Astyanax mexicanus: one gene and its partners. The main gene of each other region encodes a partner of the protein of the gene in region 4 in a complex. Links are inferred from orthologs where the notes say so. Each region holds a gene or a part of one and is shown on either strand. Other genes may lie near its edges. The genes, in order: gins1, dnajc9, gins4 and mcm2.

Region 1 (7,681 bases), on a different chromosome or scaffold from region 4:
GACAGCTTGGTAGAGTGTCCAGTGTGGTGCTTGAGATCAAGGGCGTAGGAGCGGGCTTGATATTGGGGGGGACACATTTGCCAATATGAACCCAAGTCCACCCAATAGTTTCCTAGAACAACATTTGTGGAAATTACTTTTAATTAAAAGTAAATTATTATTATAAGGTGATTTTACAACCTAAACATGTTACTCCACATTACAGCTACTGTTGTTAGAAAAATTATGCAAGCAATGTCTGAGTTATCACCTAATATTTAAAATAATATAACAGATTATTATTATTGTTATTATTATTATTATTATTATTATTATTATGTATTGGCATGTCAATTCTGTTGTATATTTACATTTTCTCCTGCACTTTTATTTTTTTCTACTGAGAGCTCTTCTTAAGATGGTGTCCTTTTATGTAAAAGAATGTAACTTTACGTTTCATAGGGACTTTTATAAACGTCAGGATATGTGGTCTTACTGTGAAATACAAATGAACAGAAGTCACGTTACAGCAGTGTTTCTCAACCCAGTTCTTATATATTCTACTGCATATTAAAACTGTTCTGCATATTCTAGAGCTTCCTCTGGTGGATATACATGATTAATTTAGGCTCCATAGGGGGCTAAAGGTTTTTAACAGGTAAACTCAGTAAATGACTGTTTATTAGCTGATCAGGTGGAAAACACTAGTTTAGGGCAGTGATCGGGGTTAAGTAACTGCTTTAAACTACCAACTTAAAGTACTGTACGAAATTCTGGCGATCATCTACATCCAGCTTCTAGATAACTAGTTAGTTAAATCAATTTTCGTTCATTATAGCTCACAGTAAGTCCTGTAATCCTAAATGAATAAACAGTTTGAAAATTAAAGTGATTAGCTGATCAGGTACAGGGAAACATTACATATATTTTTTATTTTTTTCCTTTAACCCTGACTCCCAATCTAGCTAATTCCAAAGATAAGCTTACACACTAACAGCTGCAGTTTATTAATCACAGTGGGTTTAAACTGTGTGCTGATTCAGAGACGTGTATTTTTAACCAGCTATCAGAAACATATCATCACAGTTGAAGTGGTTAGCCTATCGTTACCTTTCTTTTAGAAAAATCTCCGTATATCCATATCTGTTTTAAAATCAGCTGAAGCTGCTGCGTCCCGATCCCGCTGCTAAATCTCACAGCGAGGGGGCGGGGCTTCCCCAACAGCAAACTGCCTCTGCTCCGCGCGCCGCAAAACCAGCAAGCTGATTGGCTGTTTCTACTGAGAGGCGTGACTTAATACCTGAACCGGCTCCGTGATTGGTCCGGTCTGTCTCCTCATTAATAGTACAGCTGACCTGAGCGAACTGATATCATTTTTGGGGGGGACAAATCCACCTGTTTCTAATATTGGGTGGGACATGTCCCACCCATCCCCCCCGGTTCCTACGCCTATGCTTGAGATGCTGAGATAATTCTGAGAACACCACATAACTCTCTCTCTTTTTCTTTCCCCTCTCTTTCTTCTCCTCTTTCTCTTTCCCACTCTTTCTTCTCCTCTCTCATACAGGTTCAAATTCTGTGGAAAGGACCAGGTCAGAGAGAACATCCTCCAGACACTGACTGCTTGCTAAATATGCAGAAGTATTCAATAAATTCTTAACATTGACTCATTCAAACTGTGTCCTTGGAGAGTTTTCTTAAAATGCAGTACTATGCCTCCTACAGTGTTCTGGTCCAATTGAAAGAAGTCAAGTTTTCTCTCTGTAATTTTTTTTATTGAGTCATTATCAGAATTATTATTCACACAATACATTGATAATTTTTTATATATTTTTTTTATTTTTGTCATGCATGTGTCCACCCTGTTATAGCAAGCTGCACCACAAGGTGGACAATGACAGACAACTTAAAAAAAATTGGCATTTAATCAAAACATGATTAACCCAGAGTTGCAGACATATTAAATTGTTCATGGTGACCATGTTTATTTTCTAAAAAAAAATTATATTATACCACAATTCCGTTTTATTTGTGACATTATCAGCTTGGTCATGCACAGTAACGGAAGTTCTCCACATATTACTCTGGCACATACGGGTAACCTAGCACCGATGCAGCTCTTTCAAACCAAATGCGATGTCTTTAAACACCACTGGGAGCTGCTGGATTCTATAGGCACAGTACAGATATGCCATGTCTTCAATAGGCAGCGCAGACAAAGATGCGGTCCACACAAATAAATAAACCCAGCGATTCGAAAAATAAGCATTATTACACACATTATCAGCCACCAATATCAGGTTGTTATTATTAAAATAAAAGCTAAAGGGTATAGTTTCCCGTTAATATTGGGTATTTTAAGCTGAGCGTAAGGTGGACTCTTGTAATTCTGCAGGTCTCGCCGCTGGGGGGCGCCGAAGTAAACAAAACTTTAATTAAAAAAAAGAAAAAAAAAAGCCTAAGGAGCACTGGCCTTTAATCTGCACAGATTTCTCTCCTGAAAACAGTTAATTTGGGTGAATGAAGCGCTTCCATTTGTTTACAGTGCGCTTAGATTTTCCACAATTTTGACCGAAATGGGTGATAATACAGAGCTTATAGCGCAGCTACAAGCAGAGCAGCTATGGAACTATTTTAACTGGCGGAGTGTTTATAACCAAACCAATCGCATATTCTCGTCCTGTTTAACTCAAACTCTTTCAATAAACAGTGATAATGAAACTGTGGTATGATCACAATAATACACTCGATGTTCGTGCTATAACGTGTAGTATTGGCACCTCCTAGATATAGCTCTCCTTCTCGTGTATTAATGCTTATTTATTAATTGCAATAGTATATAGCTGCCATCTTGCGTGCGCTTGCGCAGTAGAGGCCAGAACTGGCGCGGCAGATTACTCAATTACTCTTTGCGTTTCACCGTCATTTTCACCAAACAAGTTACTTAACTTAGCTAACCTGAGTTGGTTATTCTAGTTAACTAGTTAGCTAGCGTTAAGTACCTAACGCTAGGTTAAAAACCTAACCTAGATACTAAAATTAGAGAGAAGAACAAAGTATGAATACTAATGAATTGATGTAGGAAAATTATCCACTTACCAAAAAAACTGAAGAGAACTTTTCCCTGTTAACTGCTGAACAAGCCACTGCTTTACTTCAGAAATCTAATTTTTAACAGTAAAATAGGAAGACCTGTCAATCAACTTGCCCTCAGCTGCCAATCACCACATCGCCACACCCCTTTAAATATCACGGAATAACTCCTATAAAACGTATTAACTGTAAAGACAAACCCTAGGGGTTATTAACACAGGAGGGGGGCTTGCAGAATGTACAGAACCTTCCAAAAATTAATGTGTAATTTTAGATTAAAGATTCCGCCATCTCTCATACAGGTGAATGGATGGGGTTAAAAGCTGTACTGGAACCAGCCACCAGAGGGCGTAAGAGACGTGGTGGCTTCACTTTTCAACCCCTGTTGTGCTGTCCATACTTATTTATATACAGTCTATGGGGCATTCTCATGCTCGTTTAAATAGTTTAATATTTTTTCTAAAAATAGGCTAAATAGCCTAAATTATTGACAAAGTATCCTCAAATACTTATGAAAATTTTGAAAAATTAAATAATGTGTTAATTACCCATACCAACTAATCCTGGCAGCACTGTGGACATGGCAAAACCCCACTAACACATCAAATAAAACTGTATAAAATGTCCACAAGGTTCTCTAAAGTGAATATTAACATATTTGTAACTATATCTATATTTGTAATGTGTTCATTCAGTGTTCATCTTCAGAAATGTATTGTTAGTATTTGTAATGTTTCGCTCAACAATGAATGGTCCATAAATACCCATAACCATGCATATTAATAAATATAAAAAATAGTGCATTTAGTTACAGGATCATCAGATAAACATTTGCCTCCAGACATACTGTTAGTCCTTAAATATTTGGACAGTGACACTAAACTGGATTTCAAATGAAACACTTGAGGTGTTATTGAAGTGTTTCAGGTTTAATTTAAGGGGCTGATCAAAAATATCCTATTAAGTTTTTAGGAATTATAACCTTTTTCTACAAAAGTCAGAGGCTCAGAAGTTATTGGACAAATGAACTTTACCATAAATAAAATGTTAATTTTTAATACCTTCTTGAGAATAAAGGTTGAAACCCACTGACATCACCAAACACTGTTTTTTTCCTTTATGGTGCTTTGCCAGGCCTTTACTCTAGCAGTCTTCAGTTGTTGCTGGTTTGTGAACCTTTCTGCCTTTAGTTTTATCTAAAGTAATGACTTAATGTTGCTTGATCAGGTTCAGATCTGGTGATTGACTCGGCCACTGCAGAGTATTCCACTTCTTTACCTTAAAAAAAAAACTCTTGGATTGTTTTTACAGTATATTTAGGATCATTGTTCATCTGTACTATTCAATGCCATCCAATCAACTTTCCTGCACAAAATACCTGTACACTATATAGCTGTACACTTCAGAAATCATCCTTCTACTTTTTTTGCACATGTTCTAGGAGGGCCCCATGTCTTTAGAGAATTAAAAATAAGGCTTTTCATTAATTTCTAATGTATTATTGGAATAAGCGTACGTTTACTTTTACTAGATTTTCTGACCAGACGGAGTGTCCCACTTTGCGTTCCGTAGTTATCGAAAGGGTCACGTGATCAAAACACCGCATTCTGCCGCGAAAATCGTGTGTGAGGAGCAGCGGGAGAAGCACAGACTGATATAACGCTAACATACAGTCTATGAATACAGTTTGTATTAAATACAGTCTGTATTAAACAGCGTTAGTTAACTAAGCTACAAGGTCCTACTTTATATATCAGTTTAATCATGTTCTGCGAAAAGGCTGTGGAACTTATTCGAGAGCTTCACCGGATGACTGATGGCCAGCTGCCCGCTTTTAACGTGAGTATATTTATTATTTATAGATACCCTGCATCCATTCAACTAACCAGACTGAATAGGCCTGGGTTAATGTGATTATAATAAACGTGATAGCTGAAATAACTGTATTTATGTTTTTATTTAGGAAACAGTGCGGCTTTTTGATGTCACTAAAGTAGATGCTAAGCTAAACCAGTTTAATTAAATCTTGGTTAGTGAACTGGTTCTGAAACGGGTACGCTGAGCCATATAGTTTAGCTAGCTGTAGATACAGAAGCAGCACAGATAGTAGGTTAGCTAGTAAATAATAATAATAGTAGTCTGATAATATTATTGCACAGTGTGTAGCTAACCTACATAAGTACATACAATAAATATAAGAAATGACAAGAACTACAACAACAGAAAAATACTTTGTTATTGTGTTGTGCACTGTGGACAGTGTAGCAGGTAAAAAATGAAGATACATGGTCTTTTTATAACAAATAAAATGGTGAAACTGATGACTAAATCTCAAATAACAGGTGAATAAGATGGAAGTTGAAGGTTTTAGGTTGGCAATAAACCATTTGTTTAGTGCATATTTTAGTTCCTTTCTGAAGGGTTTTAATTGTGGAACGAGCAAAATACAATAACTGGACTTTCTGAAGTTATCTCCTCATTGTAGAGGCAGGCCAACATGATTCACCTTCATGTTTTTACCTTTGAGTTCCTACCTTTATCTCTATGCTTAGGTCTGTCACAATAATTACATTATTGACTTATTGTACAATAATTAGTCATGACTACAATCATTTTTTGCTGAACTCAATATATTGTCTGACGTGTTTACTTTATTAGAACATGTTTATTTTTTGGTTTTACTTATTACTCCTACAAAATTTACTACATATACTACATTTTTCATATTTTAGTTTATTGTTCAGTTTAGTTCAATGTCTTAACATCCTTAATTATCAACATTCTTTGCTCTTTAAAAGAAATATCGCATTAGTAGGCTATTTTGTTATTATATCAGTGGCATAAGTTGGTCTTAAAATGGTTATACAATTTTATTGTAGTTTTTTTTGTGTAATAATTATTGCGACAGGCGTACATTCACTCTAATATACAGTATTAAGGGTGCAGAAGTCCATCTTACATGTGCACAAGTAATAACCAGCATTTATCTCTGCAGGAGGACAACATTCGGCAGGTGCTTGAAGAAATGAAAGCTTTATATGAGCAGAACCAAACTGATGTGTAAGATACCAACTTTCTTACCTTTTGCCATCTGTGATTTTCTTCAATCCCATTACATTTCGTGTTATATCTGATTAACAACATATCTGTTTTGACCCTCTTAAAAGTAATGAGGCTAAAACTGAAGGCAGGAGTGAACTGATCCCAACCATCAAGTTTCGTCACTGCTGCTTGCTGAGGAACCAGCGATGTATCACAGCCTACCTGTGAGTAACCTGGATCTGCTCTAATACTACTCAAGTAACTCTAAGGGCTCTATTATACAGGTCAGTTCCTCTGCTGAGACAGGCAAAAGCGCTGTGCTGTTAAGATATGAACGTGCCAAAGTCAGAGCACACCTGGCTCTTGAAGAGAACGACGACTGGCACACTGATTGGTTTATTTTATGTTAGACACAAAAAATACAAAAGAATTAGTATTTCTTGACACCAAAGACACACCGAAACATCCAAAATCAAGCTGTGCGATCCACAATTGACCGATACACTATAGTTCACTAAAATAGAGCCCTAAGTCTTAATTTATATACATTCATTGCTCACAGGACATTCAATATTCATTATTATAATAAAGGTTCTGCACAAGTTTAGCAAAATTGCATTTTTTGTTGCATTTTATACTCTACATATTAACCATGCAAATGTCTTTGTTACAAACTGGCTATTCAGTGTTTTCCAGATTGTCTATTGTGTATATTAAATACATATAGTAATTTCTATCCCCTTTTCTATTATTTATTTATATGAATTTTATAAATATATCTACATATTTGTTTTGAGGTATATTTTGTGCATTGTTTTCCTGTTCTTCTACTTTATTACTTGATCTAATGAATATCAAAGTATTTCACTATTACTTTTACACCCCTATCCCACTTTAACAGTTATGATCGCCTCCTTCGAATCCGTGCTCTCAGATGGGAGTATGGGAGTGTGTTGCCCACCACGATTCGTTTCCACATGTGTGCAGAAGAGGTGTGTTTTTTACTTTTAAGACCAAGTTATTCAGTATTTCCTTATTTGGAAATGAGGTAATACATATTTCATTTTTTATTATTAAAACTGCAGTTGGAGTGGTTCAATCAGTACAAGAAATCCTTGGCCACTTACATGAGGTCACTTGGAGGAGACGAAGGCCTGGATATAACACAAGACATGAAGCCCCCCAAGAGTCTGTATATTGAGGTAAGATGTCTTACAGCCACAAGAGATGGTATGGTGTAATGGGTAACACCACTACTTTCTCTTCTTTCGCTGGTTGGACAAACACTCCACCAAAGACTCTGAACACACCTAGTTGTGTAGCATGACTCAAATCACACAAAAACAGTATCTCCAAAACAGAAGCTGTACGAGAAATGGAAAAAAAAAAAACTTTACGTTTAATTTTTTCAGATTTCATTCCATAATGAAAAAAAAAAAAAAACATTTCTTTTTATTTTACAATATTTTAGCCTAGCCAAATTAATCCACTGACTTACTATAAACTTTCATCCTCATTTGTAATGTCCTTGGTCCCTAACAGGGGTAGGGCAAGAATATGGCTCCTC
Region 2 (7,598 bases), on a different chromosome or scaffold from region 4:
AATTGCAACTGATTTGCAACAATTCTACCATTATCAACATTCCTTATAGAACTGAAAAGACTAATTGCTTGACTGGTGGGATTGGATATTAAATAAAAAAGGTCATATTTGTGTCAATCAACACCCATTTCATATGAAAAAAAAAAAAAAAAAACAGAGTTGGCACATTTCTTAATAATAAATCAAACCACCTTTTAAACACTGAATAATGCAGCAGATTTTAACAATATTGTGGAATTCCCCTTTAAAAAGTCCTGAGTCCTGAGTCCGAGTTGTACTCAAGCATACACACACTTGTGTAGCTTCAGGTTGCGCGGGTCTGCATAGCGCTTTCCACACTTGTCGCATATATACTGTTTGCCCCCTCCGTGCACATGCCGCTTGTGCGTCCGCAGATGGCTCCCCTGGCTGAAGGACTTGCCGCAGGACTCGCAGTTATACGGCTTCTCGCCCGTGTGGATCCTCTCGTGGAGCTTCAGGCTGTTGGAGTTGTTGAACCACTTTTCACAGTACCGACAGCCAAAGGGCTTTAGGTCCGAGTGCGTGCGGCCGTGCGAGATGAGGCTGCTCTGCTGGCTGAAGCTCTTACCGCACTCCTTGCAGGTGAAGGGCTTCTCACCGGTGTGAATGCGCTTGTGGATCTTGAGGTTGACCGCCTGCCGGAAGGTCTTGCCGCAGAGGTCGCAGGGGTACGGTCGTAAGTCGGTGTGGATCCGCTCGTGGTTGCGCAGGTTTACAGCGTGCCGGAAGGACTTGCCGCACACTATGCAGGTGTGGGGCTTCTGGCCCGTGTGGATCAGCTTGTGCGTGATGAGCGTCTTGGCCCGCGTGAAGCTCTTCCCGCAACTGGAGCAGACAAAGCTCTTTTGGCCCGTGTGCGTCAGCTGGTGCCTCGCCAGGTTCTGAGCAATGTTGAACTTTTTGCCGCACTTGTCGCAGCTGAACGGCTTCTCGTCCGTGTGGATGATCTCATGCGTCTTCAGGTGCGCCGCCTTGCCGAAGCACTTGCCGCACACTTTGCAGATGAAGGGCTTATCCCCAGAGTGCACGCGGTGGTGGTCCACCAGGCTCTGCTTGTGGGCGAAGGCCTTGCCGCAGAGCACGCAGCCGAAGGGTTTTTCACCTGTGTGGATGCGCTGGTGGGATTTGAGGTTGCTCACTGTGGAGAAACTTCGCCCACACTCTGAACATATGTAAGCTCTACGTCCTCCAAAGCTCCCAATGTCTTGATCAGCTTCGTTGCCCTCTTCTGTTGTTCGACCTTCTGTGGAAGTCAGCTCCAAATGACCTATAATAGGCAAATATTGATTAAAATCAGAATTTGAAGAAGAAGAAAAAAAACAGGCAGCAAAATTCTGAATAACCATTAAATGCCAGATAATTTGCTCTGGTCTGAAAAAATAAATAATAGTTAATGCGTTTGTAAACCTGAGCATTTTTCCCCTTGTTTTTTTATCATTTCCACACAGGGAAAAAGAGTTAAGCACACCAAAATGTTTCAAGACAACCTGTGTGAGAACATTCTCTCTGCTTACTGGTCAGACCTGTCCGGGGTGGGAGTAAGACAATAAATACAGCAAAAATGTCTTGTGTTCTGGACTATTGATGTGGGGCGTTGGTAAACACTTGGTATTTATGTATAGCTGTAGTAACTGTAGTATCTGGGTAATCTTGTGGAGCATCAGATAACAAACATGTCTTGGCTGTTAAACTACATGTGGGTGAGAGATTAATAATGTCTGATTATATTTGATTGCTCAATAAACCTCTTCCCAATACCTTTTCACATAATTTCAGTAGAAACATTAGATGAGCATGTGTCTGGCAAAGTTTCAGAAATAATTAAAGGACCTTTTTGGTTAACTGTACACAAGATTATGGGGGTAAAAAACAACTCCTAGTGAAAGAGACTGGATCAAAAGATGGTACAAGATAAGATAAGACAAGTATTCAGAAATTCAGAAAATAAACCCATATTACCTGCTATGATGGACTTCAGGTCAATGTTTCCAAATTCATCTTTGATGGTCACTGCCAGGGTTAATGGAGAGTCTGGTTGCTGAGGCTCATCTGTGTCTGCAGACTGAGAGAACAAAACACTTACTTCTTACTTTTTTCAGGTCAGAGGTACCATAGAGAAAGGGGGAAAATAGCATTTTTCCAAAAAGGATAGGGAAGTACTGTATATTCACCAAATTTGTCCACCAATTGTTTGCATGCTTTGAACTTAGTTTGCTTTGCTTTTATTTTATTGGGCTCATTATTAGAACAGTTACAGACATGTTGAACTGTTTATGAGGACCTTTTATATTAATTACCATTATATTTGACCATAACAGGGTGGACAGCAAAAGTCATGTTATATTGATACTTACCCATCAGCTGCTCTCAACAATAAAACACCTGCTTTTACCCCTGGGCAAACCACAAAATACATCTGCAATAACTCACCTCATCTTGCATTCTCGTCTCCGAGCTTCTTCCACATCCATCATAGGAATGTTCCTCCTCTAAGAGTAAGAAAAATAAAAAAAGAAGTGAAGCAGCAATTAAATTGTTAAATTACACAGAGAACCTTCTGCAGTGAAGCACAGTGAGTCCAAGGGGTCTGGACTGAGTGATCTATCATGTTCACTTGGTTTATATACCAAACTATTGCTTTAAAATTTGGCAGTGGTGATTCAGCAGTTAAATGGGGTTAAAAAGGGTTCAATATCCAGGTTCAACAAGCTGCCACTGGGCAAGGCCCTAACTTTAACAGCTTCCTGGGTGCATTGTTTGCCATACTGTTACAATGAATTTTCTTCTGAATTAACTTTTCTGTTTTTTAATATTGTATGAATCACTAATTACCAAGTCCTTACCCAGCTCTCCCACTGAGAGGATGTTCAGGATGCTCCCCGGGTGCTGTGCTCTCTTTCCTGAAAAAGTCTTGCACTCTAGTTCCAGCAGAAACTTGGTCTCATCCACAAGCTTGATGATCTTACCTAGAGCCTCATTGCCCAGGACTTCCATGACTGACGCGAACTTCTTCTGCAAGAAAGAAAAATCACAAAACAGGAGTGTGCTTTAATAAACAGGAATCAATTTGATGACATGACATCCCTTTTATAAGCCTGCATTCTCCTTGAGCATTGCTATTATATAATTTAAAGCAGACTTTTATTGATTTTCACAACTACAGTTACAGTACAACTACATAAATATTGGGGGATTTGGGATAAGCTTCACAGAGTGAAGAAAAGACATGGAGAAGCAAATGATACACTTTTAAAAGAAGCTACTTATTTAAAGCCATAACCCAACACACCCCCATTTTATAAATGAGCTCAAATAAACAGAAAACAGAAAGAAACACATTGAATAAGAAGTGGTGTGTCCAAATGTATGACTGGAACTGTATTTAAAACTTAAAAAATAAACATTACATTTTATATATAAACTGACATGTTATACTACACTTGCCCCCACTTTACTATGAGTTTGAACCCCAACCTCTTTTAACCCCGTGGCTGAAAACCGCATACCAGTCTCTGCTCGTTCTCCCCCTGCAGTAACAGCGCTGCTCTCTGTGTCGGTTCTGTGTCTTTTTCTGTTGTTGTTGTTGTTTGTGTTCTTGTTGTTGTGGTGGCGCTCGTGCTCTTGTGCTTGTCCCGCAGCAACAGCAGTGCGCTCATCTCCGCCACCGCCGCGCGGATCAGCGCCTCCACCACCGCCGCCAGGTGCGCGTGCAGCGCCGGCACAGACATCAGTCCCGCCGATCAGTCCGCTAATCGATTAAAGACCCGATAAATTAATCCGTTAACCAGATCGATCACAAACAGCTGCAGTCAACCGCAGCATTGCTCGCCTCTACACACAACACACAGATAACACTGGTAACAGTGGCGCGAGAAGTTACATCCGGGTAACCAAAATCAAAATAAAAGTCCCGCTTCCGCTCCGCAATCAAAACTTAAAGAGCCACTAGACCCTAAACCATAGTTTTTTTTCATTAACAGCTGAAGTGTGTTCATAAGAAGAAATAAAACGTACCAGTCCTGCTTATTTATTTTTTATAAACATTTTCTAACCTTAAAAACACATTTATTGTGGTAATTTCTACCTCTGTAGTGTGTAAAGTGTGAATGATGTTTTCTTTTTTTTTTTTTTTTTTAAGTGTGAATGATGTGTCCGTGTGATTTGGTACGCAGACACATCACAATGCAAATCAGTCAATCGTTTTTCCACTAAGAAGTGTATGAATATGTATCTGATATTCCCTTAATAATTCCCTTAATAATTCTGTATGTATTGTTTTCACAAAGCAGAAGGGAACATGTTTTGAAACACGTGATAAAAGATTAAATACTTTTAAAAATACTTTAAAAACTGGTTGCAGATGAAACACAAGACAATTTAAATTGCTTATTTAAAATAGCAGCATAAATGAATAAATAAAAAATAGTGAAAAAGTGCATTAAGAAAAAAAACATATCAACACTTTATGGCACAAACTGTATTTATTTTTAAGAAGGAAAACACACCACTGCTTTTGCAGGTTGCAAAATGTTGCCCTGACCAATGTCCGCCTGCAGGCAGCGCTACTCCTCCCGGACCTCAACCTGACCGGCCGAAGAAGAGCAGAAGGCGGCAAAGTGAGAGGAGAGAAACAGCGAGAAGAGGGGGATTAGAGGGAAGAGAGGAAAACAACGGAAAACAGGGGACTATTTTAATCCCGTATCCAGTGTACAGCGGGTTAGTGAGTGTGTGTTTAATTCAGCCTTGTGTTAAATCCTCTGGACTTCTCTTCTTATTGGAATTCTTCGTTCCACCTTAAACTTTCAGGCGCTGAATAGAAAAGCGCTGCTCTGTTTAAGGTGGAATTGAGGATTGTAGCTAGCTAATAGAAGGTTAGTGGGCGAAGGGGGGTAATTAACGGCTCTTCCTCTGCTGAGCTAGTTAGTTAATCAGTTAGGTTGATGTGTTTATTTTGATTTTCCTCACAGGAGTCATGGGTTTGCTGGAGCAGTGCGAGCAGCTGTTTGGTTCCTCCAGTCTGTATGAGGTGCTGGGGGTCCAGAAGGGGGCTTCAGACGCTGATATGCGGCGCGGCTACTACAAGCTCTCCCTGCAGGTTCACCCTGACCGAGCCCCCGGGGATGAGCAGGCCACCACCAAGTTCCAGGTAAAAACAGCACACTGCACAGGGTTGCCAGGTCCAACAAAAATATCCAGCCCATATTCAGTCTAAAACCCGCCCTTCAGAAGCTTAGACTAGCCCGAAATACAGCTCCGGAGGAAAAAAAAGAGCCCACTCTAGTTTCTGAATCAGTCGATCAGATTTTGCTATTTATAGGAATATGTTTGTATTTCACCACATGGTCATTTAGAGCATTTATTTGACAAAAATGAGAAATGGCTGAAATAACAAAAAGATGCAGAGCTTTCAGAACTTAAACACTGCAAAAAAAAAACAAGTTCATATTTATAAAGTTTTAGAAGAAAATCCAATTTTTTTAATGCATCTTGGCATGTTCTCCTCCACCAGTCTTACACACTGCTTTTGGATAATGTTATGCCACTCCTGGTGCAATAATTCAAGCAGTTGGTTCAAGCTTGGTTTGATGTCTTGTGATCATCCATCTTCCTCTTCATTATAGAGGTTTTTCAATGTGGTGAAATCAAAGAAACTCATAATTTTAAAGTGGTCACTTAATTTTTTTCCATTGCTGTATATGTCTGTCACATGTTTAAAGCATATGGCAAAACAACTAAGTGCATGACTTTGTATTTGGATTACATGGGATTTATTATCAGTATTGCTATTTATCTTTGTCATTAATAATCCTGTAACATTAGTGTTTTATATCCCAGTCAAAAACATTTAGTAATAACATAATTAGCAAAAAACTCATTTCTGTTCTTGCCCCTCCTGAACTCTCTTTTTTCCTCTTTAACATTTTATTTGTCATCGCCTGGTGATTCCTAGATACATTGTTCCAAAAGAAGATTGATTTTAGTGTTGATTTGTACACATTTGCCTTCCATGTTGACGTAACATCCAAGGCAATGCGCAAATTTGAGCTGAGGGTCGAGTGAGCAAAAATAAGGGGGTTTAGTGCCTCTTTAATTATAGTTATTAATGTAAGGTGTGTTCTTAACTTATCTGTTTCTGAGTTATTAATATATAAATCACACAAGGTTTTTATTGCATTACTTCTCATTTGAGCACTATGAAGGTCTGTTGCTGTATTATAATTAAATTGGGTTAAAGCTAGTGTGTGGCTTATGGTCTGTAAAGCTTGTAGGACCAAGCAGAAAAGCATTCCCGAACTAAAAAGATTATTCCATTCACTTTGTGCAGTGTGCCACTTCCACTGACAGAAAACAGCCCCAGACCATGACACTACCGCCACCAAGTTTACAGGGACATTCTGCATGATTTATCTGTGTAAACCTTACATTGCTTGTGCTTACAGATTCTCGGAAAGGTTTATGCTGTGTTAAGCGACAAGGAGCAAAGGGCTGTGTATGATGAACAGGGCATAGTGGATGAAGAATCAGACTCCATTGATCAGGACCGTGACTGGGAAGAACATTGGAGGAGGCTGTTTCCAAAGGTCAGTACTCCTTAACAGCAACTACTCATAGATCTAGGCACTGATTTTTTTAATATGAAGGGATTTTTATCTAAAATACTATGGTAAACAAATCCTCTTGTCTTTTTTTGTTGTATCAGATCACCCTTCAGGACATCTTAAACTTTGAGAAGCAGTACAAGGGCTCAGATGAGGAAGTGCAGGACCTGAAGAGGCTCTACCTGCTTCATGAGGGAGACATGGACCACATCATGGACCACGCACTGTGCTGTGAGCACGGAGATGAGCCTCGCATCCGGGAGATCCTTCAGAATGCCATAGATGCTGAAGACATACCTGCTTACAAAGCTTTCACCCATGAGAGCACCAAGAAGAAGGCCAACCGCAAAAGGAAGGTCGGTGGAAATATAGAACAGCCCATGGCAGTGTTTATTGGTCTCCAGTACTTGTGTAGTGTTTTACGTTTATGATCTGTGTTGTCCAGGCCAAGAAGGAGCAGCAGGAGGCGGATGAGATGCGGAAAGAGATGGGACTGGATGCTGAGGACAGTCTAGTGGCCATGATCCAGGTGAACATACATCTACAGGCTTTATTCTTTAACAAATCTGTTTGATCTCAGTAAATATACTGGCAGACCCGAGTAGATTATGGTTAATTGTCCTTCATACCAGATCCACCATAATTCTACCAAAAAAAATCTATTAACTTGTTTAAACATGGTCAGTAGTGCAATGAGCAGATTTTGTTTAAGACAGCCCAGAGTAAATACATATGGCAAAATTCTAATCAGAATATAATACAGACTCTAGTCACATGTATTTACCAAGTGTATAAATGGGTCTAGGAGAGGACAATTCAGTATTTGGACACAGCTGGCTGTCAGTGGTTCTTTCCAGTAGCCCAACAAACACGAGTGCACACACGAACATGCATCTGCTTAAATTTGCATATTTTCTTAATAAGATGCAATTTAAATAGAAAATTTACTTTTTAAAACCTCCTGTCACACCTTAGGAG
Region 3 (7,267 bases), on a different chromosome or scaffold from region 4:
TTCTCCACGCTACCTTTTGCAGTCGAGACCGGAGGTAGCTGCTCAGGACAAAGCGAATGCGGTCAATCTCCATGCGGTGGACGCTGGCCTTTAGGTCTCCCTTCTTCACACGCTGCAGATTCTCCTCCTGAAGTTATGAAAGAAAACATACTGATATAAGCTGATACTATTTAGCATAATCTGCCAATGGCATTTTAAAACAAAAACTACAATCTTTATGTCTTTAGTGCTCTCAGGAAACCATAACAGTGCAGGCAAGTATATTGTTAGTATTGTTAGAGAGAAAGAGGTACCACTGGGGGGTGGACAATATCGTATTTCTGCAATAAAGATATTCTTGGTAATATGACAAAACACTACATATCACAACACGTAACAAAAATATATATCACAATGTTAACATGCAGAATATTTAGGTTATGTATATAAACTCTAAACATAAAAATATTTACAAAAATAATCCATAAAAACCTCACAGAAAATAGCAAAACAAATAAAAAAATGACTAATTTAAAAACAGAATACCACTAATACGTATTACGATTATTATTGTATTGTAATGTATTAAGTATTGTAATATTATTACAAGAATTTGTGTTTTTTCTTTCAATTTTTAAAAACTATATTACCATGTATGAAATGGTTTACCCTAGTATCTACCCTTTTTTACATTAAAAAAAAGTTGGATAAAGGCTAAACACTATTTAATTTCCAGACAAGGTATGAGACAAAGATTCATCTAATCCCTATAGCTTTCATTTATTTATTATATATTTAGGTAAACAGGGTGCCTTATTTATCTGATGGTTTTATCTGAATGTACATCAGATGACTGCTTTAGGCAATACCACTTACAGAAGACCATTAGGCACTTTTAGCAGTGGATGAGTTACAGCAGAAACCTGAAGTCAGCTCTACCAGAGATTATGAGTGTTATAAAAATGAGGATTATGCACCAGAATGCTGAAGCTCCATATTAGGGAACTCCTGAGGTGATAGAAGAATAAAAAAAGGCTAAATGTGCCCTAGAAAGCATTAAATCCAAAAACCCTGCAGTGCAGTCTGACTTCTAGCCCTAAAGCTAACACACACACACGTATATACTGCTTCTTCACATCCCATTCATCATCCATCCTTACCATGTGAGTGAGCTGCTCCATCACACACTCCACCAATTCAGACTTGTTCTCCAGAAGCTCTGGGGAGAATTTCTCATTCAGCCAGGCCTGAAAAACAGAAAAACAGCTTATTAATACAAAGTAATCACAAAAAAAAAAAATAATAATAACAATCAAAATCACCATATATCCAAAAATATCCAGACACATGTTCTGCTTAGTTCTTTACATTTCAGTTACTTTAAACTGCCCTCATTTCTAACCCATGATTTGTATAAACTCTATAGAAAAAAAAAAAACTAAAACTAAAAAACTAAATGTGAGATTCTGAAGTAATCACATGATCAATATGGACACCATATAAACCTATTGGCACCATGCCTGTTGTGTTCTGATAAATTACTGTGGTTCATTCAGTGCTTTTGTGCTGAGTTGGTGAGTTTAAGATAAGGTGGGGTGTTGATCCAACATCCTGATCTCACAGCAATGTCCTACTACAATCTAGTAAAATCGCGTGCTTGTTTCTTTGTGGACCGAAAACTCCCAGTTGGACCTACAAGCGGTCAGTGTAACGTTAATCAGTTCAACTTTAAGGTAAATTAGATTTCATTACTAATAAATATTAATACATTTCATTATTTAATTTTGTCCACTTAACAACTAGTTTTCAATTAATTTCTTTTTTCATTTCTGTCTCTCATGATCTGAATTACAGGAAGTTTCATGAAATTTATTTTTTTCATCTTGTAAAAAGAAAATAGATATCATTATACCATTAGTATACCAGATTTTTGTTACAAAATGCAAAAACTGTACAATCAGAAAACTGAATAAAAAAAATAAAAAAAATGATGTATTTTTATTTCTGATCACTAGTGGCAAAAAAAAAAAAAAAAAAAAAAAAAGAATTAATTCAAAACACATGAAGGTTACACTGACTTTTTTTTACACCTTGCTGCTTACTCAAAAGATTAAAACGTACTGGTTTCAAAACTATTTAAAGTATAAAAGTAAAACTAATGTAAGGGGGAAAATGTAACAAGGGACAAAACACAAAAAATAATTAATATAAAATACAATTTTCCATCTTGTAAAAAGAAGGTAGGTATGATTAAACCATCAGATTTTTGCTACAAAATGCAAAAAAAAATAAATAGAAAACTGAATAAAAAACTTAAAAAATTATTTCATGATCATTAATTAAAAACACATAACAGATCACTGTTACATTGACTCCAAACACCCTGGTTTTAGAATGTATGCGACTTGTTTATGAAGGCATTCTGGCGCCATTTATTACAATATTTTGTCCTCTTTTCACTCAGGTAGGTTATACAACTGCTGTCAATTTAAAATAAATAAATCTTACGGACTGCTGCTTTAAACAGCAGCAGACTGTTTCTCAGAGCAGAGTCTCCTTATTCCAGTACAGAGAGCAAGCAGCCTGTTTAGAGGCAGAGGAGCTGAGAGACCCTGCTGCTACTGGACAGTCCTAAGCCTCAGGTAAAGATCTGCACGGTGAAACAGAGCCGCCAGCTTCTGCAGTAAAGGTTAAAGAAACGACTGACCTCCTCCAGCCTGGAGATGAGTTCAGCTGGAGTCAGAACGTCCTCCTGACTCTCATCTTCTCCGCTCAGATCTCCAGCGTCCGACAACTCATCATCAGCCATGACCCAAAGTTCCTAACGTACCCGGAGATACGAGTCTTTAACACCGTCCTTCTCCTAAAGCACAGGGTTAACTGACCAAGATGAACACAATCACAGAGCAAAATCCAGCGGATAACCGCGCTGAACGCGTCTGTAAACACAGTCAGTAGTTTAACAGCAGCCTCTCACTGACACAGACCAACAACACACACCAACACACAGCGCGCACTAAGATTTCCCGCCAAACAGCAAGAGTTTCCCGTGTCGTCATTATTTCTTCACGGAGGTTATGCTCCGTAGATCTGCGCAGTGTATAATATCCAAAACAGTGGGTTATGCTGTTATGGTGAGGTTATGCGTAAACCTGCTCAGAGGTTAGAAAGTTTGTACATAAAACAGCAAAATGTGCAGGATATATGACAAATTGAAAAAAAAAAAAAAAATTTGTTATTAAATCATTATGTCAATATTTACATATTTAATAAAATCAAAATCTAAATAATGAAATTAAAAAAAATTCAAACAATAAAAATACATTCTAAATGCATTAAATCAATTTTATAAAACTAATTTATTTACTATCTATTGTTATTTAGTTTTTTTTTCTGCAAACAATTCTTATTTTATATCTTATATTTGTAACAACATGAACAATAATGAACGATAATACAATCATGAAAATAATAAATTTAATTTTGCGTCAACTACTTTGCGTTCTACTTTTTTTCACTAATTCATTTACTAATTACTATTATTTACTCTTTTTACAAAAAAAGAGTTGGTTGGTTGGTTGGTTGGATATTTGATCTCAGTAAGAACAAAAGCTTAGGCTGTGCCACAGGGTCCTGTAGTGCACAACTTAAAAAAAAAAATCTAAAAGACATAATGACTATAATGTTACTTTAAAATCTGAAAATGTTGAAAACAATTGCACTACAGTGCCATCCCTGTGTCAGCCACATATGCGCCCATTGAAAATGAATGCATTTAGTACAATGTAAATGGACATCTTTATACTAGGCTACATATGTCTGCTACAGCTCTGGAAAAATTAAGAGACCTCTTAAAAATTACGAGTTTCTTTGATTTTACCAAATTGAAAACCTCTGGAATATAATCAAGAGGAAGACGGATGGTCACAAGCCATTAAACCAAGCTGAACTGCTTGATTTTTTTGCACCAGGAGTGGCATAAAGTTATCCAAAAGCAGTGTGTAAGACTTGTGGAGGAGAACAGGCCAAGATGCATGAAAACTGTGATTAAAACCAGGGTTATTCCACCAAATGTTTATTTTCTGAACTCTTAAATCTTTATGAATATGAATTTATTTTCTTTGCATTATTTGAGGTTTGAAAGCTTTGTATCCTTTTTTCGTTAATTTGACCATTTCTCATTTTCTGCAAATAAATGCTCTAAATGAGAATATTTTTATTTGGAATTTGTGAGAAATGTCTGTAGTTTATAGAATAAAACAACAATGTTCATTTTACTCAGAAATTTTACCTATAAATAGCAAAATCAGAGAAACTGATTCAGAAACTGAAGTGGTCACATTTTTTTCTAGAGCTGTATATCCTTGCTGCAGTGTGAAGTGGAGAAATGTAAGAAGTACATCTTACAGATAATTGTGTGTAAATGTAAGAAGTAGAAGTTAAAGGTCTTGTTTCTCCAGTAAAGTATAGATAGAAAATCAACATTTCTACTTCAGTAAGGTAAATAAGTATTTGTACTGTAGTTATTTGACCCCTGTGTATGAACTGAACTGTAATGAGTGGATTAGTCCTCCTGACAGCAGGGGCAGGAGAGTCCTCCGCTCTCTGTAGAGGAAGCTGGTTTAGATAAGCTTCCTCTCAGTCGGACTCACTTCAGATCCCGTTCAGCAGCAGAATGGCGTCCAGGTTCCTCGTCCGAACTGCGGTGAGAGCCGCTCTCTCCAGGCGGGCTGCCCCGGTCCAGGCCGCTGCTCGGGGGTTCGCAGCTGGAGGTGATCCGCTCTTTACTCTCATTTATAACCGTCTGAGTGAAAAACAGCCGCAGCGGAAACTGTATTTAATGATCAGATTAGCCTCCTTAGCTTAGCTCACCCTGAGAGACTGAAGGACGAAGCTAGGGCGCTCACATCCTGCTGCGGGTTCAGTTAATGACTTTATCTATCTGACACTTACAGATCTCTGTATTAATAACTGTTCTGAACCTGTGATTAATTTGCGCTGGACTGCTGTATTTACTACCAGACAAAGTGACCTGTTAACGCTAGTTCTAGGCCTGAGGTGTTCTTATGGTTTGTCCTCCGCTTCCTTGTGGAAATGTCCTCCTTTAGCGTTAGCTTAAGTTACCTAGTGCTAGCTCCTCACTCAAAACTGCACCTCTAATATTTCAATTAGAGAAAATTAAATAGTTTATTATAAGTATTATCTAATGCTATACAGTCACAAAACACGTCTGAGCCATTTCTGTTAGTGTTATTTCTTTCGTAATAGCTTTATATTGCAGCTGTATGTCTAGCTAATAAGAGACCAAAATGTGCAAATATAAATAACCGAGCTGATTTAATATTTTGTAAACGTTTAAACAAATCGTGGACAACTGATCTCTATTTTTGAAACAACTGTAATTCTGGATATTATTTTTATTTAATTTAAAACATTACATATTCAACTCGCCAGAAGTATTGTAATATTTGCTTTAATTCAGCAAATAAACTAATATATATTTTTCTTGTTTTTCTGTGTATGTTATGTCTGTGGTCACAAACTTGCAAAAGGCCAATTTCATATTTTAGTTTTCCAACAGCATAGAAATACAATAATATAACATAAAGTTCTTTAAATTTCTTATTTTATGTAGTCTGGACATTTTTTTTAACAAATTAGGGATAATTTTGTAAATATATTTTTATTGTTTTTTTCCAAAGCACAAGAACATATAGACACAAAATAAAACACAAATTAGGGAAAATATTAACTGGACCCACTTTTAATTTGAGTGTTTAAATTTTTTGTCTCGTCTTTTGCCGAAGGTCTAAAAAAATAAAACTTTAGCTCAAGACCAGCTGGTCATTAAGAACAAACATAGCCTATGCTGGTAGGCTAGGCCAGCTTTTGTCCTGCATATGGGATTTGATTTGAACAAAAATATTTAACAATATTAAATGTCTCTTTAATCAGGACAGTTAATTTTTTTTTTTTTTTTTTTTTTTTTTTTTTTAATATTTTCTAATAAAAATGTGCATGCAGGAATCCCTACTGATGAGGAGCAGGCCACTGGGCTGGAGAAAATCGTGATGAACGCAGCTAAACAGGGGGCTGTAAGTATGGCCATTTTTGGGATACATTTAAATTACTGTTCATGTCAGATAATGGTTAATTACAGTCTGTGGTGTCTTCTATTCTCAGGATCCCTACAGCATGCTGAAGCCAAAGGAGTACGCAGGCACTAAGCAAGATCCGCATATTGTGCCTTCCATCAACAAGAAGAGAATCGTTGGCTGTGTTTGTAAGTTATTTTTTTAAACGTTTTTTGTTTTTTTGAGTGTAGTTGCACTTTAAGACGTATTTCAGTAACCGCTGTTTTGTAATTTAAGTGAATAAAGGTGCATCAAACTTTATAAAATTTGTCTTGGGTCATGGAGGATAATCCATGAGATATTAAACTATTAGATGTTCGGTTTGAAGCCCTTAAAACACTTGCACTTTTACATTTTGTTTTTATTTATTTATCTTGAGAGATTTAAGCTTAAATTTAAAGTCAGTGAAGCACTTTAAACATAAACATCCGTATATTACCTTTCTTCTAGAATAGTGCTTCAAAAAAATAACTTTATGCTGACCAGGTTGTTAGTTCATTCTTTACAAGTCAATTTTGCCTAGATGGACAGTGAGGAGGAAAAAAAAAGTCAACCTGTAAAACTGCGGTGTTAACATTTGTAACATTTGTGCTGGTGCACCTAATAAAATAAAAAAAAAGATAAAAGCTGCTAATATTCAGGATAGTCCTGGTACTCTTGGGAGAGACAAGATGTTTGTAATAATGGTTCATGGGCAAGATTCCTTGCATTAAATTTACTTTGTATGAAAGCTTTGCCGTACTTGCAAAGAGATGGGTAACATAAAATAAATTGAAAGTTCACTGCATTTAGATAAATCTTGGTTTGGAAATTAGTCTTAAGCTGCAGCCCTTTTTTAACCATCTTACAAGCAATCACTAACATTTATTTTATGTTTTTTTTTTTTATTATAATGTTTTGTTTTTGTGTAGGTGAAGAGGATAACACAGCAGTGGTGTGGTTCTGGCTGCACGAGGGAGAGGCCCAGCGCTGTCCATCTTGTGGTGCCCATTACAAACTTGTCCCTCATGAACTGCCTCATTAAGTAATTGCTGTTTCACATTGCACAGTAGCTTTAACCTGGTCAGTTTCTACAAATTCCATTGATTTTACCTCATTTTGCTGATCCTTATTCCATACACATGTGCAAGTACTCTGGTGCACAAGGAATTGTA
Region 4 (7,445 bases):
GATCTCGGTCTCGGCGCCTCATGGCCTCCTCTGCAGCCGCACGAGCTCCAGGAGAGAGCTCACTCAGGTCCTCTTCATCATCCAGACCCTCCTCTTCATACCGATCCAGCTCTGGGATGGCACGGTAGTCCCTGAAAAGAGCAAAATATGAGATTAACATGTGACAGTATGTGGTGCTGCTGGGCTAACATTCAGAAACTAACTTGAAACATTCTAAAACCAGTTTTCTATACCTACTTTGAGCTGGTGTTTCACTAAAAACAAAACATCCTCTTTGACTGAGGCTTGGAGAATATCAGAAATATTCTTTCAGAATTAATATATTAGCATATTTTCAATGTCTGTTTTATAATTACTGCTTTAACTGCAGAAAACAAATAATATTTTACACACGTGTGGTAATATCGTTGAGGTCACTGTGATTCAGTTTTAAAATCTCTCTAAAACCTTCCTTTCACTTAAGGCCCTAACTTAGCAACACAAACAATATATACTTACACAATACTTCAATAATACTTAATGTAAATAATACTAAAATATAATACTTAAAATAATACCAGAACCACTAATAATTCATCAAATAAACATAAAATAACTGGGGCATACACTTCGCCAACATGTTTAAATGTTTAAAACTTTACGAAAGTAAATTTCTGGAATCATATTGGCCAAGAATGAAGTGCATTTAGCAAGAGGAATTTCATTACATCTCCATCCCGTTCCCAATGAGCTCTTCTCCATCTCCTTCCTCCTCCTCCTCATTAGGGATGTTGTCCCCCAGCAGACCCTCGGACTCGTCCTCGAAAGGAGGCAGGTCTCTCCCCGGGCTGGAGGTCAGGTCCCCCCTCCGAGAGCCACGGCTGGGGCTGGTCGCCATGTGAAAAGACTCGGATGAATCCTGGAGTATAAAAAGAATGAAAAGAAAAGTTAGAAAATTACAATTCAAGGTCGTAAATAGCGCCAGTTTGAACCATCTGTTCTAGAATTGTATAAGCAATTTACCCACCAGACATGATTCCAGCATCACTGTAAATCCTAATTTTAAATATACATTTAGCGAAGTAAGATATTAAACTGGAAAATTGCTCCGCAGGACTTCAGTGAATCATTTTTCACTACAGCATAAATTAAACAAACTAAACATTATTTGGTCTTGCTTTTCAAAGAAATGCAGTTATAAAACTAAAACATAACATTTCTTGAATACTAAATATTTACAATTCCAACAGACAAAGCACAATATGCTATAATTATGCTGAAATTACCATTTCAATTTATTTTGTTTTCCATTTTTAAATAATAAACATATATTTAAGTTACAAATATATATGTTATAAGTATTCTTAATAATGCATGTGCTTTATTGATAGAAAAAAAGTTTTTTTATAACTTTGGAACGTAGTTTTATGAGCAAGAAGCAATGTGACTTTTTAAGACTTTTCCGTTCCACCTTAAAAATGTTACACGACTTAGCTAGCTAACCTACAGAGAATCTGGCTCGGTGCCCCAGAGCACTGCTGTATTTAAGGTGGAACGAAAGAATTCAATACAGAAGCTACGGACAATTTTATCAATAACGAATTGGATTACGTGAGCCATCGTTACCAACATGTAGGTATTAAAACTGCTCTATTATCAGCTTTTAGTATATTTTAATACTAAATCCTTCCCGCCAGTAACGTTATAGCTACTTTAGCTTAGCTAGCTAACTTAAACTGAGGAAACAGGCAGCTCTCTGGCTAGCCTGTTGTAGCTGCAAATACAAACACACTGCCTGAGAGAAAAACTTAATATTTTGTTGTACAGACACTTGAAAGGCGCCTAAATAAAATTATTCACCTCAGATTCGCCTCATATTTTGCTTCAGGGCTGCGTAATAAGGTTGATTAAGTAATAAACACTCGATTTAGCCCACAATGCTAACCAGCAGGAGCTTCAACAAAGACTGAACTTCTGCCCAACGTGGTCCTTCACTAGAGTACTAACTTTACGACAGACAGACAGAACAATACAGCAAAATATTAAGTTTCTCTCACTTAAACACATTTAACTTACTGGCGTCTAAATATCTAAAGTTAGATATTTTTAAGTAATACAATCAAGTTATTTATTTTAAAAATGTCAAAGTTAAAATTAAAAATTAAAAAGTTAAAGTTAAAATGTAGTTACAGCATCCGTATAAATAACTAGCGTTTTAACCATTCCCTTAAAAAGAACAGCTGTACAACAATAATAACAGTAATATCTAGTTATAGATAACGTTAAAACAAGATGATATATTTTAAATGTTAAGATAAGATAAAACAATGCCTTTATTAATCCCACAGCGGGTAAATATTGTGACCCATGTTAGCAGGTTAACAGCAGGAGTAACAGAAGACAATTAATGTTTTGATAATTATACAATAATTATTTTTAAAAATCTATTCGTAAAAAACGTATACGTATATATAACGTGTACGTATATCTTATGGTAAGCAGTCACCAATGTTATTGAACACAGGCTGACAGATTATTACAAAATGCCTCCATTCAGTTACATTAACTACGCACATTTGTTTATATCTAACTTACGAACTAGTGACCTATATAGTTATATATTTATAATTTACAATAGATCAAATCATATATATTTTTTAACATTTGGCCTTGTAAAATGCTATTATGTGCACTTGTTACTGCATTTCTATAAAAGACAACAACTTCAACCAAATCTATCAGATTTGTCTCTCAAAATAACCAGTATTATGACATTCTTCAATTATAATACATGTCTACATATAATCAGTTTAACAGTATCAGCCTCGTTTCAGACTATTTCCTTTAATACACTTTATTAAAATAATAAATAACAATCTTTAACTCACCGCCATCGTGCTGGTTTGATGTATACACGCCTGTTCTGCTCACTCTCCGGCTACTTTCCCCTGCAAGCCGAAGTTTTCGCGCGAAACTTCCCACGTGACCACAAAGCGCGGGAAAGCTTATGAATATGTATAGCTAAGGATTCTCCGCGAGTTCTAATTGGTCTGTCCGCAAGAGCGCCACGCCCCCCTGTGCTGTACTTCTACACAGATTCAATGCAGTATTTGACAAAGCGCGGGAAAGCTTATGAATATGTATAGCTACAGAGTCTCCGCGAGTTCTAATTGGTCCGTCGGCTAAAGAGCCACGCCTCCCTGTGCTGTACTCCTGCACACATTCAGCGCCGCATATGACAAAGCGCGGGAAAGCTCATGAATATGATCACATGACGAGTTTCCGCTGCTCTAATTTGCCGTTGGTTGGAGATGTAAGTCCACGCCCCCGGATCTGTAATTCCGCTGGGGGTCACTGTAGGATATTTTATAGAATAAAAGCACATTGTCGTTTTGTACTGACAGTACAGAGGAATAAATAAATTAATAAAATAAAACACACAATTAAAGTGTTTATTTTTAGGTCATAGTCTGGCCTTATAGCTCGGTAATATTTTTATAACATTTATCTTAAAATGATTTAAATAAACTTTTCCCTTTTCCCACGCGCTCGTAAAGGAGAAATCCAATGTGAAACGGACTTGTGTTGCAGTAAAACATGATAACCAGTACACCCTTTTGTCCAATAGTCCTCCTCCATTCTCCCCCAGCATTAAAAAAAAATAAAGTACTTTTAGCTGATGTTCCCAACAAGCTTACAATGCTAGCGATGGGGGTATACAGTTACCCATCAAAGTAGCACCACACTTCATTGGTAGAATTTCGAGGGCCTTACAAATAAAATGAGTGTTGCAGATAAGGAAAGCCATATATTTGCAAGGCAGGGGAAACAGAATTAAAGAACCCTGCTCTGGAGTGATGAAACTCCATCAAATATATATTTGGAATGAGTTGTAGTGTGAGTTTCTATCTTTATTTACGTTTTTTTTAGGCAAATACAATAAAATCCTCACTGAAATATTCAATATTCATCATACAACCTTCTTATTAGAGTAGAATCTGCTTTTAGCTAACAGGAATGCTCATATAGGTCGTATTTCTTATTCAGAAAGTTGAGATCGCCAACTTTAAATTCCAATATGGCTGCCCCCACATAAACAGTAGTAGTAGAAGCAGCAGTATGATATAGTTTATTATCATGTCTATCCCTTAGTGTTTTGTTAAATTAGTCATACACACAGTACTGTGTACAGCACCAACTTCTACCTGTGGTAATGGTGTTTCCATGCTGTTTGGATATGCAAAATAGTGTATAATGCTTTTTTTAATCAATAGGTATCAATGGTAGCAAACTAAATCTGACTTCTGAGGTTAACAGAATGAGGATAATACCCTTGCTTTCATAAGATGCACTAAAAGAGCAGGTAAGTGTTTCTTAAGAACATATTTAAACAATATTATTAAACAAGCAGCAGATCATTTAGAACATTTTAATCAGTGTTTATCCATCAGTGCATTAAGCCATGATATAATTCCAATGGTCTCCTATAAAATCTGAGGTTATTCTTGTCGGTCATTGGCCCCTTAACTGCACACGATCTACCTACACTAGTATCCAGTACCCTGTACCCTATTATGAAGCTTTAAAGATGACGTACAGCACTGGCATAGTTAAAGCAAAAGCAGTGTAGGTCAGAACTGTGGTGTACAGAGTAGTCTTATTGATCTGAGCCTCCAGTCTCTTCTCCGTCTGGTCCAGTCCCTGGATGATGCTCTCTGTATCACACACCAGCAGCTGCGTATCTTTAGTCTGAATGACTGGCTTCTCAACAGGACGATTCAACACAGATTTCCTCACGGCGTGAAGCTCTGTCGCCACCTTCCCCACGCTCTGCTCCAGCTGATGCAGCTGGGGCTTGAGATCTTCCATGAGAGCCTGAGCTTTCTGGCTGTGGAGGAGGATCTCCTTCACGGCTTCTTCTGAGGCACCGTGTGTAGACGGAGGGGTTGAAACGGGCACTGCTGCTGGCACTAAGACGGACCTTGGCTTGACTTTTTGTGCCTCGACTCCTCCACCTTTCACAGCTGCCCTAAACGTATCTATGAGGCCACGGAGTTCCTCCTGCTGGTTCTTGTGTAAACTGGCTTGGATCTTGATAGCTTCCTGTAGACTCGCCGGTCCCTTCTGAGCTTCTAGCAGCAGGCCTTTCAGTTCTTGAAGGCGTACCCGGTTTACGTAAGTGGACCCCATTACCCCAATGATGGCACCCAGCACCGAACCAATTACGGACCAGTTCTTGGTTCGCTCGGCCCGAGATCGCTCCTTCTCGTGGCTCTCTCGCACACCAGCCGAGAAGAGCGCAAATTTCTCTCGTTCGCACTCCTCCGCATTCTCGTAGGTTGTTTTCAGACGACGCTCTTCCTGCAGAGACAAAGAAGTTAGTGAGTGGATGGTTTAAGTAAATTAGAACCTCTTATCATGTTATTAGTAAGGATGCACAGAATATTTGGCAACTAAAATACATTTTCTGGAAATTACAACAAACCTGCAGTAGCTTGTGTTCCAGTGTTGCCAGTTCTAGATAATGTGCCTCCTCTCGTGATACACGGTCCAGGCGATCTCTGACTTCCTTCAATCTAACTTGAAGAGCCTCCAAACTGACGTGAGCCTCACGGACCATTCCTCTGGCTACCATGAACGCCTTCTCTGCCTTTAGACAGGATGAAAGATACAAGGATTACACAAACATAAAAAGATGATTAAGTCTAAAGAAGTGCTCTTCAGCATTTAGAAAGCTATAATATAAAGCGCTGGGAAAAAAATAAGAGACCACTAAAAATTATGAGTTTCTTGGTTCTTGATTTTACCAAATTAAAAACCTCTGGAATACAATCAAGAGGAAGATGGATGATCATAAGCCATCACCAATATGGCTTTTTGCACCAGGAGTGGCATAAAGTTATCCAAAAGCAGTGTGTAAGACTGGTGCTGCTCACCTCTGTAACTTTGCTCTGAGCATCTCGAACTTCATTGAGACCCACAAACTCCTCGTACTTCGCCCACCAGTAATTGACGGTAGTGCTCATGGTCCTCACAGAATTCTGTCCCCACTGTTTCCCAAGCTTTGCCACATTCTTCAGGGCGGCCGAGGCACGGTCCTGAGACGACACGGCCTTATCAGCCTTGTCCTCTGGGTTCTGCTTCGGGGAACAGTAGGTTCTGTTGATGGAGATGTTCCACTGGACTCTGCCAGGGACTTTGAGAAGGTAGAAGCAAGTTCCATAGCTCCTTGGTAGGACACAGCTTGCTCTGTACCTCATTGACTTGCTTTCATTTGGGCAGGAAACACACCTTAATCTGGCAACCTGTGGGAAACAATGTAAACAATGTAAACAGTGTAAAATGTTCTAAGGTGAGAGAACCGTGAGTATGGTAAAGGCAATTGGACCATTTTTAACTTCTTCAACATCTTCAGTGATGAAAAAATGTAAAAATGCTGTTTTCTGTCTGTAATGCACAGAAAAGAAGGCTCTAATAATCTATTATAAATTCTATTGTATTGGAAGCATGTGTGTAATATTTTACATTTGATGTTCACACTTTTATTTTCTAAACCTTCCATAAACTGGAAAAAAACATAATTAAAAAGTATTCTGAATCACATTAAATTAGTATAAAATAGCTGTTACTTTGCATAAATGGATCTAGGTACTATTCTACTGTTTTTCCAGTCTAGTGTATGGGGCAATGTTACCGTTTCATTGGTTCATAAACTTGTTCATTTGCTGGTTCGTGATCTATTCTGATAGACAGCAGCTCTCAAATAGTGTTATATACAACAAAACATTTAAAAATAAAAATATATAATACATGATGTCTATTATACTAGATGAAGGTTCTAAAAGGGTTAATTAAATTAGAATAAGATAGTAAATTGATCTCATTTCTCAGTGTTTTTTAATGAAATCAGTCAGCAGCAAGAATAAACACACATGAAAATAATGATAATATAATTGCAATATAATCTACTTTAATATACATAACCATTCAACACCATTCACTTTCACTTTACACAAGCTATCCTATATAATATATAGCAAAAATAGAATAAAATATTAAATATCTGCCTATATAACATGACATTTTAAAGCTATAAGAGTTTAAACACTTAAGCACTGAAGTTGCCATATATCAGATGTCAATAATTCACCCGGCAGCTCACTATTAGCCAGCTAGCTAATTAGTTAGCTAGGTTAGCTAGCTAGCTTCAAATTCATTTATATATATTAAAACACAGTTATCTAGTTATCTAACACACTAGTTACCAAACCTACCTACCAGATACCGTCTCTGTTAGTTAGTCCTGTCTGCCTTCGAGCGAAACCCTGAGCATTTTAAATACAAAACCAGCCTGTTATGAACTAATATCAGACAGACAGAGGTGAGTTAGCTTTGAGCAGTTAGTTAGTTATCTGTATGAAAGTCATGCTAAGCTAACATTTTCTTCAGGCACATTTCCAGGCTCC

What was found.
Region 1: mcm2 (region 4) and gins1 share a complex: the UniProt entries of both Homo sapiens proteins name them as parts of the CMG helicase complex. The link is inferred for Astyanax mexicanus from reciprocal best matches to the Homo sapiens genes MCM2 and GINS1.
Region 2: the proteins of mcm2 (region 4) and dnajc9 are in contact, whole or in part, in a crystal structure (PDB 7CJ0), measured with the Homo sapiens proteins. The link is inferred for Astyanax mexicanus from reciprocal best matches to the Homo sapiens genes MCM2 and DNAJC9. Residues at the interface, in NP_004517.2 of Homo sapiens: Glu65, Glu66, Glu67, Asp68, Glu104; in NP_056005.1 of Homo sapiens: Lys185, Arg189, Arg192, Lys244.
Region 3: mcm2 (region 4) and gins4 share a complex: the UniProt entries of both Homo sapiens proteins name them as parts of the CMG helicase complex. The link is inferred for Astyanax mexicanus from reciprocal best matches to the Homo sapiens genes MCM2 and GINS4.

What each region holds. Positions count from the first base shown.
Region 1 is NC_064414.1:30,474,885-30,482,565, reverse strand, and holds the start of gins1 (DNA replication complex GINS protein PSF1), read left to right. Parts: upstream 1-4,660; 5' UTR 4,661-4,836; coding exon 4,837-4,911; intron 4,912-6,067; coding exon 6,068-6,132; intron 6,133-6,239; coding exon 6,240-6,338; intron 6,339-7,015; coding exon 7,016-7,106; intron 7,107-7,199; coding exon 7,200-7,316; intron 7,317-7,681. Other genes in the region: pancreatic triacylglycerol lipase, read left to right, coding at 1,547-1,610. UniProt on the Homo sapiens protein: Required for correct functioning of the GINS complex, a complex that plays an essential role in the initiation of DNA replication, and progression of DNA replication forks.
Region 2 is NC_064422.1:19,868,655-19,876,252, reverse strand, and holds the start of dnajc9 (dnaJ homolog subfamily C member 9), read left to right. Parts: upstream 1-4,585; 5' UTR 4,586-4,737; exon of another isoform or gene 4,738-4,892; intron 4,893-4,988; 5' UTR 4,989-4,993; coding exon 4,994-5,167; intron 5,168-6,461; coding exon 6,462-6,602; intron 6,603-6,721; coding exon 6,722-6,976; intron 6,977-7,065; coding exon 7,066-7,149; intron 7,150-7,598. Other genes in the region: si:ch211-207i20.2 (zinc finger protein OZF), read right to left, coding at 279-1,288, 1,981-2,083, 2,452-2,510, 2,865-3,033, 3,528-3,749.
Region 3 is NC_064419.1:27,448,004-27,455,270, forward strand, and holds the start of gins4 (DNA replication complex GINS protein SLD5), read right to left. Parts: upstream 3,012-7,267; 5' UTR 2,789-3,011; coding exon 2,687-2,788; intron 1,227-2,686; coding exon 1,140-1,226; intron 128-1,139; coding exon 14-127; intron 1-13. Other genes in the region: cytochrome c oxidase subunit 5B, mitochondrial, read left to right, coding at 4,655-4,751, 6,004-6,074, 6,163-6,262, 7,025-7,137. UniProt on the Homo sapiens protein: Required for correct functioning of the GINS complex, a complex that plays an essential role in the initiation of DNA replication, and progression of DNA replication forks.
Region 4 is NC_064431.1:668,483-675,927, reverse strand, and holds the start of mcm2 (DNA replication licensing factor MCM2), read right to left. Parts: upstream 3,014-7,445; 5' UTR 2,874-3,013; coding exon 2,868-2,873; intron 1,975-2,867; exon of another isoform or gene 1,840-1,974; intron 899-1,839; coding exon 708-898; intron 132-707; coding exon 1-131. Other genes in the region: ccdc51 (mitochondrial potassium channel), read right to left, coding at 4,552-5,340, 5,465-5,629, 5,916-6,239. UniProt on the Homo sapiens protein: Acts as a component of the MCM2-7 complex (MCM complex) which is the replicative helicase essential for 'once per cell cycle' DNA replication initiation and elongation in eukaryotic cells.